Sus scrofa: one gene and its partner. Each later gene encodes a partner of the first gene's protein in a complex. Links are inferred from orthologs where the notes say so. Each region holds a gene or a part of one and is shown in the gene's direction. Other genes may lie near its edges.

Region 1 (5,271 bases):
TTAGGACTGAAGAAAACATTAAGGAGAATGTAGGCAAGCACCACATAAAAACGAGCCTGTGTATTTTCTGGGTCCGAATCTCCCACCCAAGCTGTTTGCCAAAAGGGCCAGTACTTTGAAAGCACATTTTTATGGCTTTGAGGGAAAACCACGTTGGCTGAATATTTTTAAGTATCTGATGTTGGCACTAAAAACTTCGTCTCCTGCAAGTGAACGGTTCTTGCTGTTGAGAGCCCACTCTTCTTTGTTAATGTTCTTTGAAAATGTCCAAGGTGACGATTGTCCTCTCAGTGGGGTTTTGTTTTCCACAAGTTCCCATCACGCCCAGTGAGACTCCACGCCAGTGTCCCGACGAGGGGATCCCGAGTGCTTCGAGGCGTAGATAACAGGGCTTTGTGTCTTCCTGTGCCTGTTTGTTGGCTGCTGTGTTCCATCCCAACTTGTGTTTTATTTATTTCTTTTGGCTTTTTTATACTTTGTTTTGACCATTCTGTGTCAAGGTGTTTTGTTGATGTAAGTCTTGTTTCCTGCTGCTCCTAATCAGCCAACAAGCAAAACCTAAACCAGGACTTGAAGCTTTCTTTAGGAGTGTTAAACTGCCCATGACCTTTCTGATGGTTTGGTATTTGTGTATATAGGGAAAAAAGCAGGAGATTTTCATGGGGGAGAGCAGAGTGTATTGTAAAAGCCTCCGCTCTTGGGAGTAGATGCACGTACCTCTGCTTTTCTTCCCCATTTCTCATCTTTTAGGTATTTTTGCCCTAAATTGTTTTACAATTAGATGTTAATTCTCTGAAACATACAGCCAGTTCTAGAATAAACAGTAAAACCCTAGTGGGCAGATGAATGACTTCGCTTAGATCAAAAAGATCCCATAAACTTCACACCAACTTACTTGGGATGGGGGCACTTGCACAGGGGTTGGGACCGTGGGTACCAAGAAGTCCTTGAGCTCCTATTGAAGCCCCTTGATCCACCTCCGAGCACGTCCCCACGAGCTGGAAGTGTCCCGCTGCTGAGGGAGGCCGAGGCAGTGTGGCCACACCGCCTTTCTGCCCTTGAGCTCTGATGGCTTTTAGTAGATGCCCCAAGGCTGGGAGTGGGTCTTGGAAAATAGTTTGTTTTTATTTGCTTGGGTTCCCAAGTACCATTGCCCAGTTGTGATGACATATTAAAGTTGAATAAAATAAATAAAAGCTCCCCGTAATAGCGAGTACCCCTGCCGATCAGAGCTTTGCATTCAATCCTGTTTAGGAAGGTTCCATGTAGAACTTAGAGGGGAAAACTCACGACCACCCGTCACACACACACACACACACACACACACACACACACACACACACACACACACACACACAGCTTCATTTCACCAGATAATGTCGGCCTGTGGGCTGTTCTGGGGGTGTGGGCCTCAAACATGCTTCATCGAGGGGGATCAGACCCCCTGCTACGCTTCCAGCTTTAGCTGGGAAGAGGTTTTTCCCTAAGGTCTTAGCACTTGACCTCAAATCTTGAAGTACTCACTTTAAACAAAACAGTATTTTAAAGAATGTGTTTGCCTACAATAAGGTCTTAAAGTTTCTCCCCCAGATGAGAATTCTGAACCTCCTGTTCTCTACATTGGATTTAGGCAAGAGTCCACTCCAAGTGACACCGTCAGAAGGGCTGTTTTGACATCTGAAGGGTGGAAGGTGTATTTTTTTTTTTGCTGCTGAGCATTTGTGAATTACTGTGTGCTTTCTGATAACTGTCTTTCCTGTCTTGTTTACCCCACTAATCCTTCCTGTGTATGAGTACTGGGGACGTTCTGTGTCAATAACGTAAATAGAAAAAGCTGATTTTCCTCCCCATCTTCAGGAGAGCATTTCAGAGTGCGGGAGGTGTTCCCTGTCTCCATTCTGTCAGTTTGAGGTGAGAACAACCTATTAACAGTCAGCTTATGACTTGCACTGTGAAGAACAGTTTATATTTCCTTTTCTTTGCTTTTCCTTTGACCTTTTCGTTGCCTTTTTTCATGCTGTGATTTTTGTTTTGGTTCAGCCTGCCGCGGAAGGGGTAGAGGTGAGAATCCCAGTGGAGGCGCAGGCGGGGTTGTTGTCGCACTTGGCTGTGCTGTGACTTGTGGTTCTGTGGTGGACAGCGTGTGTCGTGCCTCTGAGTGCAGTGAGCCGTGTCGTCCGTCTGTGGCGGTTGGAGTAGCACATGGCCGTGACCTGTCCACGCATGTTTCCTGTGAGGACGTGTTTAAGCCAGATTCTCAGTTCGTTGGGGTCCTCCACGCTCGCATCACACTCTCTCAATATTTACAAGATGCAGGCGGAGTTTGCTCTCAGAATGTTTGTGTGAACTCAGGCGTCTGACAAGCTCTCGAGAGGAAATGCCACCAAGAAATCACGCCACCTGCCAGGGGCTGGGAGGCGTTCCATTTCCCGTCACGCTCTGACCAACTGCCGCACACTGGAAACCTACGGGCCCCTCGCCCACCCAGGCCCCCGGGCGTCTCAGGCCCGTCCCGCCGCCGAGGGGGGCATAGCGCCCGCCGTGCCTGCCGACTGCCCGGCTCTGGCTGCCCCTCCTCTGTGAAACGGGGGTGATGACCGCTGTCATTCCTGCCTTCGGTGGGGAGGGGAAGGCACACGAAGTGATTTCCTGACGGTGCTTTGAGAACAAAAGCCCTTAAGACGAGAGCACCGTCGTTGGAATGTCACTCTCATTGCAGGGTAGCCCTTGGGCTGAAAACTTGAACCCCACAGGCGAGGGCTCTGGAGGAGGCACGGGGTGACACCGAGCTGGCTTTTCTCGTTTCTTACCCATCTCACTGCTTGCCTCTTGGCTTAAAGGGGCATCTGGAGAAGCGTCTCGGGTGCTGCCAGGTGCCGTGGTCCATCACGGCTGGTGTTTATCATCCCCGTTTTACCGCGTCCAGAGTAATGGGTGTCCTGTCACACAGCCACCCAGCTGGGACCTCAGGGCGTCTTCCCTTCCCCGTGGCCTGAGTAGCAGCCACAGCACCGTGGGGACTGAGACCGAGAAGGCTGGGGGGACCCCGATGGACTACCCAGCTGCTAGCACATGAAGAAGTGCAAAATTCTTGGTGTTTCCCGTTTTTCGTATCATTCCGTAAAGCAGTTTGTCAGCTGTGTTTTCGGGCCTGGTTGACAAATCTCTAGTGCCACACACAGTTGGTCATTTATTTACATGGATAATTAATTTCCAGGGTAAATTACTTCAGTACTTGTTGAGGACTTTCTCTGTGCTAAGGTTTGAGGGCAAGAGAAGTCTGTGCCCTCAGAACCTAGTGCTTCGGGAAGACTCCATGATGTCATGGCCCCCTGAGGGACTTCTGACACGGCCCCGCGGGGCGAGGGGGCGAGGGGGCTCTCGGCGGCAGCCCTGGAGGTGACTCCGCCCCTCGTCCGTGTGCCTGAAAGCAGACACGGCATCCCTCAGGTGCACGGGCAGCTCCTCCCGGCCACAGTTGACAGGTGCAGTCTGGAGGCCAAGGGCCCCTAGTTTCCTTAGGCCACAGCCGTGATCTGAGGTGGGTACGTTGTGGCTTTTACATGTTACCTCTGCTTCTGTGGGCTAGCCTTGCGAATGTAGCTAGAGCACAGTAGGGTCTGTAGCAATGCTGGTATCTCTAACTAGCAAAATCAGTTGGCCTATGGCGTAATTTCTGGCTTCTCTTCCTTAGGAAATGAAAATTTGCTCGGCAATCATAAACCTCTTCCACCTGATCCCAGCTGCACCGCAGACTCTGGTCAAGCCTTTGTTGGAGGTTGTGATGAAAACGGAACGTGCTATGTTGATCGAGGTAGCGGTCGAACGCGGGTTGACGCTCGTTTTTCCTCCGTCTGTCGTTGCTTGCGGTGTCCTCGCCTTGTCGTGTTTTAGATGATTGACCAGGAGCGTAAAGATGTCAGGTGTTAATATTTGCTTGTGGTGCCTGCACTCCCAGGACAAGGCAGGGAAAGGCACACGGCTGCCCTGTGAGGTCGCGAGGCCGGAAAAGCCTCCAACCTCAAAAAAATGCAGCCTTCACCCCGTGTCCTGTAGGCTGGCAGTCCATTCCGAGAGCCTCTGATCAAGTTCCTGACCCGCCACCCCTCGCAGACGGTGGAGCTGTTCATGATGGAAGCCACGCTGAACGACCCCCAGTGGAGCAGGATGTTCATGGTGAGAGCGGGGCCCCTGCCGGAGCTCTACCCGAGTTTCTGTCTCCCTGCTCAGTGGCCTGCTTTTGTTTCTCTCCTGTGTGTGTATTAGCAACACTGTTGCCCATGGGAAAAGCTCACCCCTCTGTCTAGGCATTTGGTGGGGTAACGAAGGAAGGAGCTGCCAGGATTAATGACAATCGTGATGCGTGGTAGCTGTCGAAAAGCCTTTTTTGAAGAGGGTGCTTACATGATTTTCCTTTCTTTTTAAGCCCCCTTAGAGTTCCTATCATCCAAACATTTTGTGAGTTTTGATTCGCTTAAAACACCTGTTGGGTTTGCTTGGTTTTTAGAGTTTTTTAAAACACAAAGACGCCAGACCTCTTCGAGACGTGCTGGCGGCCAACCCGAACCGGTTCATCACGCTCCTGCTGCCGGGCGGCGCCCAGGCGGCCGTGCGCCCCGGCTCGCCCAGCACCAGCACCCTGCGCCTGGACCTGCAGTTTCAGGCCATCAAGGTAGCACTCCTGTCCTCTGGACGCCCGGCGTCCCGAGCGTTCCGGGGAGGCCAGCCAGAGCCCTGTCGGCATCCCCCCTGTCTCCTCTTTGGCAGATCATCAGCATCATAGTTAAAAACGACGACTCCTGGCTGGCCAATCAGCACTCTCTGGTGAGCCAGCTGAGGCGCGTGTGGGTCAGTGAAACCTTTCAGGAACGACACCGGAAGGAGAACATGGCTGCCACCAACTGGAAGGAGCCCAAGCTGCTGGCTTACTGTCTGCTGAACTACTGCAGGTGGGCGCCTCCGCGTGCTCCGCCCCGAGAGCCCTGCTGCCCAGTCAGCGCAGCCCGGGCCCCTCCCCGCCGCGCGTTGCTGGGCTCGCCGGGTATGTGTGGGCAGACGTGCTGCGGAGAGAGGGCTGTGGCCGCCAGTTGCTGTAAAGACAGGTGGCCATCATGCGGAGCGAGGGCCTTGGCCGTGACGTGACCTGCCTGCTCCTTGCCACCCTTCAGGAGGAACTACGGAGACATAGAGTTGCTCTTCCAGCTGCTCCGGGCCTTCACGGGTCGTTTCCTGTGCAACATGACGTTCTTGAAAGAGTACATGGAGGAGGAG
Region 2 (5,271 bases), on another chromosome or scaffold:
CATAATAGGAACTCAGTGTTTATTAGTAGTATAGCTGTAGGTAAGGAAGGTGGCGGAGTATTTTCACTGCATTAGGTAGACTTGGAATTTAAATATGAGTATTTTTTTCTGATTTCCCTTGAGATTAAATTTTGACAATCTGTAAGAGATGTTCTTGAGTCACTAAGGTCTGTGTTCACACTTGATTATTGGAATGGAGGTTCCTTTAAAGGATGCTAAATTACCTGCAGCTTCTTTGAATAGGAGCACGTATCTTTCATATGTGACCCTAGGATTTTAAATATTGTAATTACAACTTCCACCAAGCTCTGAAAAACAACTTGCGTGTGAGGATGGAGGGAAAATTGGGCTTTGAATTATTGAAAATCACCGATACCCCAGTGATTGTTGTCAATATACAAAATGTAAATAAAATAATATTCTCACTTTTTTTCCATTTGAATTATATTGCTTTGAGTTTAAAAAAAAAAAAAAAAAAAAAAAAAGGCTCCTGCATGCAGAAGTTCAGAGGGCAATCTTAGGTATAAATAGTGAAGCACAATTTTTTAAGTCTCATTTCTGTAATGCATTAGCTATTGAATTGGGCATGCTGCTTAACTCCTCTGAGCCTTAGTTTCTTCGCTTAGGAAATAGAGGTAGTAATAACCTATCTTAAAAGATTAGAGCAAGGACTAGAAAACAGGCCATCTAATGCGCCAAGCACATTACAAATTATCTTTTGCTACTCTTCTTCCCTACTCCCTTATTTTAAATACACATTATTTAATTGAAAGTTTAAATTTTTTGCCCTCTGATGTGTCCTAGCCATTTCGATATTTGTAAGAAAGGTACTCTTAATTATAACAGTGATTAAGTGGGAAACTACTATTTGAAAAAAGATGTTGTCAATACTATGACATGAATTTTTCAAGACTGTATTTTTTGGTTTTATTTCAAAATAGTAAATTTGAAAAAGCATTGAATAAAATTAATATTAAGCTTTAAAAATACATTAAGACTTGTTGCTAGTTTGAGGTGTCATAAAATTTTCTGAAATCAATTCAAAGATCTCTAGGTTAGTGAGAAAACAATTTTGCCACCTTAACGAAGGGCAGTAGTATTACAATAAAACCATTTTGACCAAGCTCTTTGTGGAAAGGAGTTTGCTTACTAAAAACCCCTTTTGTCTCAACCCTTTACATAAATGTTTACAAGCATAATGGTTCACTTTCCTGCCTTAGAGAAACGTATGTATGGAATATAGGAGCCTCTTTGTTTGTAGACTGAGGATCTTTTCATTCCTTATTTTAAATAACAGTTACTATGGTCTGGCAGTGTGGATAGCCTTGTTATAAGTAGGAGATTAGGCTGAAAGTAACCCCAGGGTATACTGTGAAAAGTTACTAACCCCCTCATCTCTCGGATCAGTTACATCTTACGTCTTTCAGACATTTTTTAACAAATTGCAATTCTGGTTTCTTAAAATTTATTCAAGGAGACGTGGGAGATATTTATCCTAGCACCCTCATTTTGTAGATTAAAAACCTGCAGTATAGGTTAATTGAGTTGCTCAGGGATGCAAAAGCACATTCACTAAAAGAAATAGAAATTTAGATTTCCTCATTAAACTGACACTTTAATAGTGTCCCAAATTGTGGTGGTTATCTTTGATCTTCTTTGAAACAGGTAGATCGACACTTGAGAAAGCTGGATCAGGAACTGGCTAAGTTTAAAATGGAGCTGGAAGCTGATAATGCTGGAATTACAGAAATATTAGAGAGGCGTAAGTAAAATTTACAGTTTTCCATCACCGTTGGACAGTACATGTGCACGTCGTTGAGGAGACTCACGTCCCACAGAGACTTTTCCATCTGCTCTTTGGTGAACAGTGGCACCTGGGTGGTATAGCTTGGTCCCCAGCAGTCGGACTGTTTGGGTCATGGATACTTGGAGAGATGATGCAGTATATCAACCACTCACTTTTCCTGAAAATAAAGCCTTAGGTCATTCCATTTGTTAATACGCGTATATGCTAGTTAGAAGAGTGGTAAGAACAAAGATTTAAAGAAATATAACCGTCTAGAAGCAGGGTAGCCATCTGTCGTTAGATGTTGTGACTTTGCCCTGCCTGTTTATGCACCTAAGTATTGAGGAAGGTTGTTATTTTTTCTTAAGAACTGCCTTAAAAAGCTTTTCCTCCACTGTGTTACTCAGATTTTAAAGAGTTCTTCAACACTTCCTCCTTTTCTCAAAAAAGTCTTTTCTAAACTTTCTCTTATCAGTAAGAAGCCATTTTAATATTTCATTGCAAGCCTTGTCTTGATCTCCCGCTATAATTTACCTTTATCACTTCTTGGGTTTAACTCAGGAGACTTCCCTAAAATGGAGACATGAGCTCTGTTTCTTTAACTAATTTAGCATCACTTCCGACCTAAATGGATAATGTCCATCAAATCAGATAGTGTGGTGGCAAGCCCAGTGTAGGCACTCACTAAATGTTAGTTGAATCAAATCAGCATTATGGCTGATTTCTACTAGAATTTAAAGGGTTCGAATATCTCTTTTCTTGGTGCGTTTCAATAGCAAGAACATGTACCTATTTCTACACACAGGTGAAAGGTTTCTTTACGGTGCTAGGTTATATATCCCTGTTTATGTATTCACTAGAAGTCAGCTAGGGAAGCAACCGGATATGAATGTACCCACAGTTGCATTTTTGTATTCAAAAATAAGCCCATCACTTTAGATGACCATCTAATTTATTGTGATGTTTTTATTCCAGGGGAACCCTTACCAAGAATAATAGCTATTTTGAGACAAAATAAAATATTTTATTTTTCTGAAATGCCAATAATAATTGTGAGTAACAGTAATCCATGGCTATTCAGTACTGCAGGAAGGTTAATGAAGCATCCTCTGTAAGGACACAGACATATGAAACTAAATCAAATCAAGTTAAAAAATGGCTCCACCCTGCGCCCTGCCATGATTTCATCTCAAGGGATCTAGATAAACCCAGAAAATTTCTTCAAAAGTATTTTAAAGCTTGGCGGTAAAGATTTTATGCATCATTTTTCATGAGCAAAATCCCTTCTTTTAGAAAGTCTTTGCTATCGTATGTCATTTTAATGATCAGAGAATTTTCTTTCATACAGTGATGTCCCATTGCCTAATACTTTAGGATCTCCTATTAAAAGGTCTTCAATAACACTATGTTGAGTTTTTCAGTTCTTATCAGTAATGGAATCATGATACTCATTCATCCACTTACATGGTCCCAAATGTCATGAATTCCCTAATTAGACATTAGCGTGCCTTGACCTATTTTGTACTTAAGGTGAGCACTGAAAAATGGATTACTTACTGTTTAGAAAGAGGATGAGGTTGGCTCAGGGTGAAATTGGCGGTGGTGACCCTCTAATGTGTTTGGCTAAAATAATACAGACACAGGCATCAGAGCTTGCCAGACATCTCCTGGTTAAGGGTACCCAGTGCCTGTAGTTGATTGACACATAAAGTTCTCTGCTGCGATCTCATGGCCCTGTATCTCTGTGCCTCCCTGTTTTTTTAGGATCTCTGGAATTAGATACGCCTTCACAGCCCGTGAACAATCACCATGCTCATTCACATACGCCAGTGGAAAGTAAGTTTGATTTAGGGCAGCTAAAATTATTTTAAAGACAGTTGAAAATTCATTGTATTACCTATATGTTCTCTTTCATTACCTCTACACGACTGATTGAGAAACAAATATCCTCCCCTTTTATTTTGTGAGATATGTTTTTTCATGCAATTACTGGTGGATTTATCTTCTTCATTTGGGAAGAGCAGATGTGATTTGGGAACAGGTAGCCTGTTTTCCCTGGGATTCACAGAGGGCGATGTGTGGTACTAATAGCAGCATATACTCACTGCATATCGATACCTGCTTCTCTCCAGGGAGCATTATAACTGAGCAGAACAGTAAACTCCACAATTATGGGCTCTTTATCTTTTTCATCCTTGCTTCTCTAGTGCTTACCTTACTGTCTGGCATATAGTAAATTCTCAAATAGTTTGGTGAGTTAGTGAGTGAATGAATGGTCTGTCAGATGCTAGCTGGCTAGATGACTGTATCGGTGCATTTTTTTGCTATGAAAGAAAGGTTGATGGAAGACTATTTTAAATTGTAGAAAATGTTTTGAAAACAAAATTCCCCACATGTTATATGTTAAACCATGTGCATCACGGGTTATCTTCAGTACATTGCTACAAAAAAGTTTTTTTAGTGTCTACTCCAAAAAAGTTTATTGTCTACGCAGTCTGCTCTTAGGAACACGTGTGAGACAGGATTCTGTTTGTCTTGTCTTCTAGGAAAACATAATGTTCTGTATTCCATGAGGAACTCAGGTCATTACTATATTGGCTTATGACCAGATGAAAGTATTATGCCTTTTCCATTGTTCTCTAAAATTTAAAAACACATAAATTCTTTATTTATATTCAGAAAGGAAATATAATCCAACTTCTCACCATACAACAACAGATCATATACCTGAAAAGAAGTTTAAATCAGAAGCTCTTTTATCTACCCTAACATCAGATGCTTCTAAGGAAAATACACTAGGTAAGTTTACTGTCTTAAATACAGTTGCTTTTTTTTTTCATTCGTGCCAAAATAAAGGGAAATGATTAACTATATGATTAACTATATAGATTCCTTACCTGGTTAAAATCTACCATAGGAAAAAAGACGAAAAAGGAAAAAGCTGACATGAAGTTTTTAAATTTAATGATTAAATCTGTGCTAGGGCTCACTAACATTTTGTTCTAAGCATTTTTATTTCTTCTTTAATTCTGTACAGGTTGTCGAAATAATAATTCTGCAGCCTCTTCCAACAACGCTTACAATGTGAATTCCTCCCAACCTCTGGCATCCTATAATATTGGCTCATTATCTACAGGAACTGGTGCAGGGGCAATTACCATGGCAGCAGCTCAAGCGGTTCAAGCTACAGCTCAGGTAAAAAGGAACAGGTTTGGAAACAGAATATAAAATTTTATCTGAATCCTCTCTTAATAGAAGCAACTAGATGTGAACAAAGAGTTTTCTTGCGTTGTATAGTTTTATTTTCAAATCATAGTTTTTATGATAGCTGACATTTAATGAAATGAATATGCAGAAATTACTTGATTGATAAAAGTTAAAAAATATTTTCATACAACCTCATGCAGATTCCGTCCCACAATAATTGCTCATGATGCTTATATTCTTGAGTGTAAGCCACAGCATCTGCTGGGACAGTACCTTAT

The links.
Region 2: TRRAP (region 1) and ING3 share a complex: the UniProt entries of both Homo sapiens proteins name them as parts of the SWR1-like complex. The link is inferred for Sus scrofa from reciprocal best matches to the Homo sapiens genes TRRAP and ING3.

Annotation. Positions count from the first base shown.
Region 1 is NC_010445.4:5,968,518-5,973,788, forward strand, and holds part of TRRAP (transformation/transcription domain-associated protein), read left to right. Parts: intron 1-1,857; coding exon 1,858-1,911; intron 1,912-2,040; coding exon 2,041-2,061; intron 2,062-3,694; coding exon 3,695-3,814; intron 3,815-4,056; coding exon 4,057-4,176; intron 4,177-4,507; coding exon 4,508-4,672; intron 4,673-4,767; coding exon 4,768-4,949; intron 4,950-5,168; coding exon 5,169-5,271. UniProt on the Homo sapiens protein: Adapter protein, which is found in various multiprotein chromatin complexes with histone acetyltransferase activity (HAT), which gives a specific tag for epigenetic transcription activation.
Region 2 is NC_010460.4:25,955,256-25,960,526, reverse strand, and holds part of ING3 (inhibitor of growth protein 3), read left to right. Parts: intron 1-1,665; coding exon 1,666-1,762; intron 1,763-3,550; coding exon 3,551-3,622; intron 3,623-4,465; coding exon 4,466-4,585; intron 4,586-4,823; coding exon 4,824-4,981; intron 4,982-5,271. UniProt on the Homo sapiens protein: Component of the NuA4 histone acetyltransferase (HAT) complex which is involved in transcriptional activation of select genes principally by acetylation of nucleosomal histones H4 and H2A.